Linked DNA regions of Tribolium castaneum. The protein of the gene in region 1 interacts with the protein of each later gene in a biochemical or structural test. Links are inferred from orthologs where the notes say so. Each region holds a gene or a part of one and is shown on either strand. Other genes may lie near its edges.

What was found.
Region 2: the proteins of escl (region 1) and NiPp1 form a complex in vitro, tested with the Homo sapiens proteins (2 studies listed by BioGRID). The link is inferred for Tribolium castaneum from reciprocal best matches to the Homo sapiens genes EED and PPP1R8.

The regions. Positions count from the first base shown.
Region 1 is NC_087397.1:436,548-442,350, reverse strand, and holds escl (polycomb protein EED), read left to right. Parts: upstream 1-2,402; 5' UTR 2,403-2,506; coding exon 2,507-2,542; intron 2,543-2,593; coding exon 2,594-2,659; intron 2,660-2,703; coding exon 2,704-2,837; intron 2,838-2,886; coding exon 2,887-3,058; intron 3,059-3,118; coding exon 3,119-3,418; intron 3,419-3,487; coding exon 3,488-3,678; intron 3,679-3,728; coding exon 3,729-3,930; intron 3,931-3,980; coding exon 3,981-4,181; 3' UTR 4,182-4,231; downstream 4,232-5,803. Other genes in the region: uncharacterized protein LOC662535, read left to right, coding at 1-179, 226-343, 398-661; Mpc1 (mitochondrial pyruvate carrier 1), read right to left, coding at 1,747-1,919, 1,968-2,068, 2,114-2,181; uncharacterized protein LOC662631, read left to right, coding at 5,011-5,049, 5,448-5,803. UniProt on the Homo sapiens protein: Polycomb group (PcG) protein. Component of the PRC2/EED-EZH2 complex, which methylates 'Lys-9' and 'Lys-27' of histone H3, leading to transcriptional repression of the affected target gene.
Region 2 is NC_087396.1:21,736,672-21,742,018, forward strand, and holds NiPp1 (nuclear inhibitor of protein phosphatase 1), read left to right. Parts: upstream 1-2,489; 5' UTR 2,490-2,716; coding exon 2,717-2,745; intron 2,746-2,868; coding exon 2,869-3,083; intron 3,084-3,151; coding exon 3,152-3,369; intron 3,370-3,426; coding exon 3,427-3,978; 3' UTR 3,979-4,046; downstream 4,047-5,347. Other genes in the region: EGF-like domain-containing protein 2, read left to right, coding at 1-39, 86-178, 389-2,112; Aprt (adenine phosphoribosyltransferase), read right to left, coding at 4,195-4,648, 4,687-4,772. UniProt on the Homo sapiens protein: Inhibitor subunit of the major nuclear protein phosphatase-1 (PP-1). It has RNA-binding activity but does not cleave RNA and may target PP-1 to RNA-associated substrates. May also be involved in pre-mRNA splicing.

The DNA.
Region 1 (5,803 bases):
ACGGGCGAAACGACAAGAAAGTACGAACGCTATCCAAACTTCTACAGAGGGGCCCAATTAAAGCACGGCTTATGGACCGAACCGTATTACGATTGCGATGGTAAAAAACCCATGTGGAAGATTAAATACGCGGCACCGTTTTTCGGTTGGGACAGTCTAAAAGTCAAACTCGAATTCAAGTAAGTTATCACGCAAACATTCCGTAATCTAATAAAAAAATTGCAGGGGCGTGGTCACCGTATCAATGGATTTGTTAAAACTTGATATAAACCAATGTCCCGACAGATATTACGTTCCAAACGCCTTCAAAAACACACACAAGTGCGATTTGCGAAACTCATATGTAAGTTTTTTTTATTGTTTCGTAAGTATGGTGTTATAGTGACGATTTTTTCAGTGTGTTCCGATTTTGGGCCGTGGATTCGAAACAGGCGGCTACAAGTGTGAGTGTAAGCAAGGTTACGAATATCCGTTTGAAGATCTCATCACTTATTACGACGGCCAAGTGTTGGAAGCCGAATTTAGTAATTTAGTTGATAATAATGAGACACGTTTTGACATGTTCAAGTGTCGCTTAGCTGGCGCTAGCAGTGTTCAAGTTAGTATCGTTACAGTTTTGTTGCTGATATTTGTTAGTTTCGGTTTGTATGGCAGAAGTTGAAACCAATGACTTGAAATCCAAGGCCTTTCAAGTGCCTTATTGATGATATTTTATAGTTTTACCGTCCATTTTCAGTTGTAGTTGTAGGTTTTTGGTACAAAAAATATTTTGTATGTTATATTGTGTACTTGTTGTGCACTTAATCGTACTATAGGCCGTGTTGCAATTTGTTGGGCGATCGTGAGTTGTGTACGTGTACATATTTTTGATATTCTTTTTATTCCTAAGTGCACAATTGAACAAGAAATTGTTCAATTAACCGATTTTTTTATTACTGTTTTATTAATTTCTCCGTCCGTTATTTTAACAATCTGATTACAATAATTTAAGTTTAATAAACGATTTTACAAGAAAATCTTTTTCATTTCGGTGAGATCGTGGGCTTTGAGTTCGATTAAAAAAAGTTTCAGTTCCAGGGAAACTAAACCTCTTTCAAACACAATTTTCTAATGTCAAATAAGGCAGAAAAACGGCCCTAAAACCCGGCTTGCGACCGACCAAAGCGCCAAATTTCTACAAAAGCATCTAAACTACACTATTCACTTACCAAAAAATTTGATCTTGGTAAAAAACTTTTGAAAAATCCTCTCGTTTTGAATTTATTTAATGAGCATTGTCACAAAATGTACTACACAATTTGTTTTGTTACCCAAACAACAACAAAAAACACACTTCAATTCAGATATTTTCCTCCAAATAATTGTAAATGTACTGCAACACTAGCACGAACACGATGTAAACGGCCAGAAAAAGCACACAATAGACGGCAAAAATGTAGCCCAGGATTTTCGAAAAACGCATCGAATTTGTGACAAAGTTTTGACATTTCCCGCAGGGTGATAAATAAGCGACAATTTTAAACAGACATATTTATTTCCAAAAATATACAAATAACATGTATATACCAACAAAATAACTCTCAGATCAGTCCCTAAATTTCAGTTTGGTCTCCAAGGTAGGTAAATTGAGCAGTGCATTACACAGTTATGTAATAAAAACCTTATCTAATTATCTAACGTACCAACAACCTCTTTTTACAAATGAACACTTTACACAGCTAATTTAATTACCTAAAATCACGTTAATTACTTAACTTCTTCTTTGCCCTCTTTTTTGGTGAGGTAGTTATAGTTGAGAAACCTGCTTAATTGCACTAATTGCGCGCTCTCATTAGTGAAATGACAGGCAAAAAGCAGCATATTTTGGGGCTGCACTTTCCAAGCAAATCGCATAAACATAGCAGAATAAAGACACAACGCTACAAAAAAACATTAGTTCACCAAACTCCAAAACAAGTTAATTGTACCAATGGTCATTTTCCCACTGATATATTTGGGATCTTTCGATATATCAGCGATTGCAGCTATAGGTATGCCCCAATTGGCAACAGGCCCCCAAAAATGCGTGCTATAACACACTTTTAGTAAAACAACGACTCAAACAAGCACTAACCTCATCAAATATTCCCTAAACTCCTTGCTTTTGAGCTGTTGCACCAACTTCTTCCCTAGAGTTGCCATTTTCGTGTCTTTCTTTAGAATGGAACTGAAATAAATGAATTTTAAATTCGTTATGTTAATTAAATGACCTACACATACACTCCAAGGAAGACTGGTGGTCAAATAAATGTGACAAATGTCAAGGTTAAGGTTATGCCAAATCATTCTGCTAACGTTTCACGAATTTTTTGTGTTTGAAACTCTGAAAGACACACTCCTAACACGAATAACACAATTGTTTGAAAAGAAATGGTTAATTGAAGGCAAAAAGGCCTAATCTCGCGTTTAAATTTAACAGTAACTTTAACTTTTCGGTGTTGCACACTTTGATGGCGCGCTTTCAACAATGGAAACAATGGCGTCCTCCCCCAGCCGTTGTGAAGTAAGGCTTTAGGCTTTATTTTCAATTTTAATTTACATTTTTATCATGAAGGAAAAGTCGAATCCGGCGGTCAATGACTCCAACTCGAACCTAACAGAAGACTCTGGCGATGAGGCGGTAAGTTAACGCACATTTGAGGCAAATTCCTGTAATATTAGTAGGATGAGACCTCAAGTGTTGGGAGCACTTCGACGACGTCCAGGAGCGACACCCCCACAAACAGGGTGCGGAAAGGACGGCGGGGTAAGAAAAAATTCAACCCGCTTAAAGTCCCCAAACCGATTTACAAGTTTACGTGAGTTTGGATGAGGTTAAGTGGTGTTTTTTTACTGGTGTTTTATTAGGTGTAATATTAAGGAGGATCATGGACAGCCACTTTTTGGCACCCAGTTCAACCACCACTTGAAAGAAGGCCAACCGCTGATTTTTGCAGCCGTTGGGAGTAACAGGGTTACGATTTATGAGTGTCCTGAGGGGAATGGGATCAAGCTTTTGCAGTGTTTTGCTGATCCTGATGTATCCTTTTTTACACGACACTTGACTTGATTCACATCGTTTGGCTTCTTAATAAATCAGTTAGATGAGAATTATTACACTTGTGCCTGGACTTATGACGAAGAGACGGGGAAGCCCCTTTTGGCGGTTGCTGGTTCAAGAGGCATAGTTAGGATTTTGAATCCGGCGTCTATGACCTGCATGAGGCATTATATAGGCCATGGGCATGCGATTAACGAGTTGAAGTTTCATCCAAGAGACCCCAATTTGTTGCTGTCTGTGTCCAAAGACCACGCTCTGAGGTTGTGGAATATTAAGACTGATGTCTGTATTGCCATTTTTGGGGGTGTTGAGGGGCACAGAGATGAGGTTTTAAGTGCTGTAAGTTGGCTTAAGATTTTTATTGGTAACAATATCCGAAAAAAAAACAAAGTGAGTTTGGTGATTTAGGATTTTGACTTGTTGGGCAACAGAATCATGTCTTGTGGCATGGACCACTCGTTAAAATTATGGAAATTAAACAAGGAGAGTATGAGGGAGGCTATTAAACAGTCGTACCAATGGAACACGACTAAGAGCACAAGACCATTCAATTCATTAAAGGAACATTTCCCTGACTTTTCCACTAGAGACATTCACAGGTTTTATCAATTAATTAATGAGGTTTTCCCCTTTTAATATTTTTTTTTAGAAATTACGTAGATTGCGTGCGTTGGTTTGGTGATTTTGTTTTGAGTAAATCGTGCGAAAACTGCATCGTGTGTTGGAAGCCAGGACGTCTGGAAGATGATAATTTGCGAAAGGGTGAAACCACGTCCACTGTCATTCACAGATTTGAGTACAAAGAATGTGAAATTTGGTTTGTGAGATTTGCTATGGATTTTTGGCAAAAAGTAATACTTTTCATTGCTTTTTAATTCGTTATTATTAGTTTGTTTTACAGATTTTGGCTTTGGGTAATCAGACTGGCAAAATTTTTGTGTGGGATTTAGACGTTGATGATCCAGCTCAAGCCAAATGTTACACTCTACAGCACCCTAGATGCGCTACAGCAATCCGACAAACTAGTCTCAGTAGAGACGCCAATATTTTATTATGTGTGTGTGATGACGGGACAATTTGGAGGTGGGATAAAGTAGCGTAACTACTTCCCGCTTTGTATTTTTTACGATAAAATAAACTATTTAAATTGAACTGACTTTTATTTTGACAATATCAGGTCTTCCTTTCCAGTTGGCAGTTGTTTTCTAAGTTTTGGAGCTCTAGATAGCAAGTCCCTCAATTTTTTTCTTGACTTATTCGCTCCATGTATTATTATTGAAGCAAATTACTTGTGTTTGCGAGAGCTAACGCGAAGGTTATCTCGCAACCAAAACTATTTCTTCAAGTACATCGCAGTGAAAGCGGAAATAATCTCCGAAAAGTGTCCCGCGTGCCATAATATTCATAACCAAATTACATAAACCACAATTACTACATAATTAATTAATGAATTATTTATTGTTTACAAGTAATTCATTCTTTTCGCGAGGCGAACGAACTTTCGGAAAACCAGTAACGCATATGACACAGTTTATTTAACTCTTGACCTTTGGTAGAAAAATTCAGATCTTTCTTTCTTTCGTACCAACACGTACGAAATTGAAATTTGCATGCACTTTCCCTTGCGTTAAATTCGCTCGTTCTTTTATCATTCTGCGGTGGCGCTAAAAAAACAAACGATTGACACTTTCCGAATACGAAATAGTTTTCACCGACACATACAAAAATCTATTAATTGATCATTGAGACCACTTTTTTTGTCTTTTCAAAAACACAATTTTTCCTTCGATAAAGATCCAAAAGTCCAGTGTGAAAGTCAATCAGTTTGCAATATTGGGCTTGGCCACAAGACGAGAATGCACAGAGGGGCGCGGCTTATTTATAACTCTTGCCACCTTGCACCAGGTTTCAGTCGTCCACAAGTTTAAAAAATGACAGTGTTAACGTGCGTTACGTGCCTACTTTTTTTTGTAAGTAAACCGAAATGACCCGCCACTGGTTTTATCTTCTTATTACCATGGATACGTACAAATTTTGGCACGTTTCTGTGGCAATTAGGCGAATCTACAAGCATGTGCGGCTCGTCAATGATAAAAAAATAGGGTTGTTTTTATAATATTCCATATTGAATTCTTTAGTTGGCTCTAGGCGCCAATCATCCTTGGCATAACAGTGTTCTTTACATTAGAAATTTCAACCTTGCTTTACTTTTACTCACCAATTTCGCTCCACAACATCAAAAAAAAAATTAAATAATACGTAAGCTTGTGGTTACATACTCCCTTACATAACTTATTTAAATTTCAAAACTGTTCCACTTTCTTTACAAATAAAATGATGAATATTTAAATTATTTAATTATCCAAAGATTACATTAAGTTCGGGCCAACTCCCACCTCGACTAAACATCCCGGGGGCTATTTTAGTCCCCCAAGGCAGACCAGCTCCCTTCAGACAGCAAAGGATCCAAAATGAGGGCCCCCCACCTCGATTGAGACGACCTCCACCAATAACTAACGCAGTCCCAGCCCCTGTCCGACCTGTTGTCGAAGAACCAGAAGAAGAAAACATCCCAATAAATAATAACAGTAATTTTGACGATGAAGTCAACAAATTGGGACTTTCGGTTCTCCAATCAGCAGTTGGGCAAGCTGTAGCTGCACCTGAGGAGGAACAACGTCAGGTGCACTTTAGACCGGAACGACCTGTTCCTGTTTTGAGGCA
Region 2 (5,347 bases), on another chromosome or scaffold:
GGACGACCCAGCTTAAGGCCGACGATGTTGCGGAAAGAGGTAGCAATAAAAAAATCGTATTCAACTCATAATTAGTTTTTGTCAGGACAAAGAGTCGCAAGGCAAACCAGTGCTGATCAAATGGTCCAAAACATCCTTCAATGGCTTCAAGGAGTCTACACACAGAACAGTAGGAAAAGTATGTTATCCTATTTAGTCTCATCTAATTAGTTAACGAAGTTAATTACAACCAATAATGGGTTAGTAAGCCATTACTGTCATTACAATGTGTTCTAGAGCTGAAAAACTTAAATAAATTGTCACATTAGCCACATCCTTCTGTATAATTTATTAATTAACTTGCTATACACGATTTATTAATGAAATGCCTTTCTTTAATGTTAATCAGTTCGCCAAGGCACTCTTCGTGAATACCTGCCTCCGAGCAACACGCAAAAACCACGACCATTCGAACCACAAGGCTACCCCCCATCTGGGATCACCCCCCAGCCCCCGTTCCCCATCTACACCAACCCCACGACAGGATACCCCTCCCCCACCAACGAGATAACCCCACCTCACACCGGCCCCCCGCAACCCCCTTTCACAGGATACCCCACCACGGGATTCCCCGGAAGCACGGGATTCCCAACCCAACGCCCGACAGGGTACCCCACCCAGAGACCCACCTTCCCGTCCCAAAGACCCGGATTTCCCACACAACCGCCGACAGGGTACCCCACCCAAAGGCCGGGATTCCCCACACAACCCCCGACAGGGTACCCCACACAAAGACCCACTTTCCCCTCCCAAAGGCCGGGATTCCCCACACAACCTCCAACCGGATTCCCCACCACTCAACCTCCCACTCCTGCACCGACGTACGGTCCACCAATCACAACACCTCAAACCTCCACTGGTACCCCAATAACCTCGGCCCCCTCCACTCACTTTACCTCCCCTGCCATAACAACCGAAGCCACGCCCTCGCCCGAGGATAACAACATAGTGCCAACCACGCGGCCTGGACCCACGGAAATCCCCCAAACGCCACAGCCAGGCGTACCAACTGATGAGGATTTGAAACACCCGCCACATATTCACGCAATTGATGTCGAGTGCGCCAAAGACATGATGACCATCACGATTGAATTTAACCGCGAGTTCAATGGAGTGATTTACTCCAAAGGCTACTACAACATGCCTGAATGTCGCTACGTGAACGAAAATTCCGAAATGACGAAATACCGCTTCACCGTCAGTTTGAACTCTTGTGGGACTGAATTTATCAACGCGTTTGATACTCAAGGACAGTCGTACCTGGAGAACGTCCTCGTGATCCAAAACGAGCAAGGGATCCAGGAGGTTTGGGACACAATCAGAGCTGTGAGGTGCCTCTGGGAGGGCAACCTGAAGGACTCCCTCAGCGTGGCGCTCAGCGTGGGGATGCTAAGCCAGGAGATTGTGACTTTCAGTGGGGACACCGCCATGGCCAAGCTGGACATCCAACTGGGCAAAGGCCCATTCGCGCCCCCGGCCAACGGTTTGGTCAAAATCGGGGAGCAAATGACCCTTGTTATCTCCGTGACCGGAGACCCCGGTTTTGACATCCAAGTCAAAGACTGCAGGGCTACGGACTCGACCGGCGACCGCGTGTACCCCCTAACCGACGAAAACGGCTGTATTCTCAAACCCAAACTATTTGGCGCGTTCCAAAAAACACGAAACACGGGAAATACCGGCGCTTCCATCATTGCCTACGCGTTTTTCAACGCTTTTAAATTCCCAGATGTGATGGATTTGATGATTCAGTGCAACATTGAGCTTTGCAAAACCGACTGTCAGGTGTGTCCAGAGCCCAACCAGCAAATCGAGCCTGGGAGGAGGCGCAAACGTGACCTTTCGTACTATAATAACACTGACGGGGTCACAATGGGGAAGCACCTGAGGGTCGTTTTGGCGGAGGATTTGAACGATATTGGCAATACTGAGGCCGCGTTTGAGGGGGAAGTTTGTATGACGACGCAGAATTTTCTACTAGTTTCGGCGATTTTGATCTCGCTACTCACTGCCAGTAGTGTACTAAGTGCTTGTCTCTGGTTGAAGAACCAACGGATTGCTCACAAAGGGTGACAACTTTACCACAATCCTGCCAATGTAGTTCCGTCCATTAAGTTATTGTGACTCCAGTATTTTATTTAAGTTTTTTAATTATCGTAGGCCCATATTTATGTAAATACTTGACTAATAAAGTAAGAATTTTGTAGCGTGGGGTTTTCTTTTATCAAGGTTGACGACAACGACAGACTAAATTTGTTTAATAAAAAAGCATAATTTTTTTGTATGGGACTTTATTGATTGAAATTTACATAATTTGAGGCGTAAAACTAGTAAATCATTACGATTCATTGTAAGCGATTAGTTCATAATACATATAAACGAAAAAAAAAAATGGTCTGGGTCAGGGTTTGAACCCATAACTTTTGAGTTGGTGTTGATCAGTTGATGATTCCTCGGTCATAAGCACTTTCGTACTACATAATAGCAGGTTTTCTCAAATCAATGCGGTGCCAAATCGGTACAAAAAGTTTAAAACAGTGATTTTATAACAAACAAACGATGGGCTTATTATTTGGGTGCGTTTTAATGTCGTTAGATTGACAAATAACGAGGTTGTTTTATTCGGCCTTGTGCAACTTCGGACGTAGCGTTATGTCACCTGCCAAAAAAGCGACAAATGGCAAACCATTATGAGGTGCCAAATTGGTAAATAATCCTTGAAAAATTGTGTTATTGGCCCCTGAACCCCTCACTTATCATTTCGCCCCCTTTTCTGTCACACAATCCACAAATCGTGTGTTTTTGTGTGTTGAGGTTATGCTGTTTCAGGGCAGGCAAGCCCCCCGTGGGTTTGCATTTGGACGTGCTAAAGGGCGACAAACTAATACAAAAATTGATGATCGACGACAAAAAGTGTTACTTATTTGGACGCAACGCCCAAATGAACGATTTCTGCATCGATCACGCGTCATGTTCGCGGGTTCATGCAGCCCTCGTTTGGCACAAACACTTAGATCGGGCGTTTCTGGTGGATTTGGGGAGCAGTAAGTGTCACGTGTGCGCAACTTAGGGCTTTTTTGTGTCAAGACTTGGATAATTTGCGTTGTTTTAGCCCATGGCACCTTCATAGGATCATTAAGACTTGAGGCGTATAAACCCACTCAGTTGCCTATTGATTCTAGTTTTCACTTTGGGGCGTCCACGCGAAATTACACGATCAGGGAGCGGCCCCAGACGGGCATGCGGCCGATCATTGACGAGATCGAAAAGGCGGGCGAGGAGACCGAGGGCGGATTGCTGGGGCTCCCCGAGACCGAAACGGAACTCGATGTAAACCACCCCAACCAGCGAAGCTGAGAGCTTTACAAAAAATATTTTTTTCCATAGAATTTGACGGAATTTAACACCGCCCACAACCGGCGGATATCAATGCTGGGAATCACCGACGACACGGAAAAACGCAACACCAACCGGAAGCGCAAACGCCAAGTCGTTTCCTTCAACGAGGACGAAGAGATCATAAACCCTGAAGATGTGGACCCGAGTATCGGTAAATTCCGAAACTTGGTCCAAACCACCGTTGTACCTTCAACCATCAAGAGGGCCAAATTCGCGGCTGAGAATATCGGAATCCCCACTGAATACAAAAATCCCAAAATCCTTCATCCCTCCGCCCCCGATTTGTACACAGACCTGCCCCCCGAATCCCACTCTCCAACCAGTTCAGGGAATTTAAGCATTTACAGTTCGTTAAGTTCACGCCTTGGAATGGTTTTACCCAATCCGGCGCCAGATGTCGACATGGGACAGAACTTCGCCCCGCCCACTCCCTTTGTCCCGCCCCAAGTACAAATTGCGGACGCCATGGAGCCCAAGAAAAAGAAGTATGCCAAGGAGGCGTGGCCTGGCAAGAAGCCCACGCAAACGCTATTGGTCTAGGATTAGGTGTAAGCTTTTGATGTAATTTTCTCAAGGTCATAGATTAAATATTCAATAAAAAACGAAAAGTAGTTTCTTTTATCGAAAAACATGGCGAAATAATTTCTGAATTCTGGGAAACAGTTTCAAACTAACACCAACTTGACAAAAATAGGTTTTTTATTTCACTACTTGATGGAATGCAAGGCACTCTCGATTGAAATATCAATCAAAAAATTAATATTTAATAATGGACAATACCTCTGCTGGCACCTTCTCCCGGCCTTTGAGCCCCTCGAGCTCCATTAGAACGAGACACCCTGCGACTTCGCCACCTGCCCCTCGCACGAGCTGGCAGGCAGCCCCTAGACTGCCCCCCGTGGCTAACAAATCGTCCACAAGCAGGACGCGTTGCCCCTTACTTATGCTATTTTCCTGAATTTCAACAGTGTCATGACCGTACTCGAGAGCATACTGCGCCGACAAAATTTTCCCCGGTAGTTTACCCTTTTTCCGAATTGGAACGAAAGGTATGTTCAAATCAATCGCCATCAACGGCCCCAAGAGAAACCCCCGAGCATCCAATCCCACGATACATTCAGCCGGGGGCTCAATTTTGCGTGCAAAAGACACCAAAACGTCACGTAAAATTGCAATGAGTTCAGGCTTTTGGAACACTGAAAACAAGTCCCTAAAAAGGGGTAATAGGCGAACTTGGGGGCGCGTTACCTGAAGAGGATGCCGGGTTTGGGGAAGTCGGGGTAGGACGTCACGTTGGCTTTAATTTGGGCGATTTTTTGGTCGAGATCAGACATTTTAGTGGAATGTTTGCGAAGGGGGGCCCGCACACTTGTCACTAATAAACGAAAAAAGAGGCAATTTAATCAATTATTTATTATTAATAGCCACAATAATTGATAATTACCATTTAATTTGTATACAAATTTGAGGTTAAGGGCACATTTATTATTATTTTTCGAACTGTGATGTTTGCGCCAATCACAGGCCGACTTTTCGGAGCGCGATTCAAAATTTGACCGCAAATTGCCATAATTTGGCACTTTTCTGACTCCAAAATGAGCAGAATCCCTAATGGAAGGCCACAGCCCCACAATTTATTATGTGGAAACGATTTTGTTGTTTAGTTTAGTTAACTAGAGTGCTTGAGGTTAGGGACCCAATTTTTTATGCTTGACATTTCGACCAATCACGCTAACGCACCTCGAGCGGGCAATTCAAAGTTCAACTTTATATAACAATTTTTCAGGGGTAAAGACAAGACAGTGGTAACGATTTTCGCATTTATTTGTTTTATTGCAGTGCAAAGCTGGGACATTTGTAAAATAAACATTACGTAACGGCAATAACGACTCACTTTTCCGTTTAACGG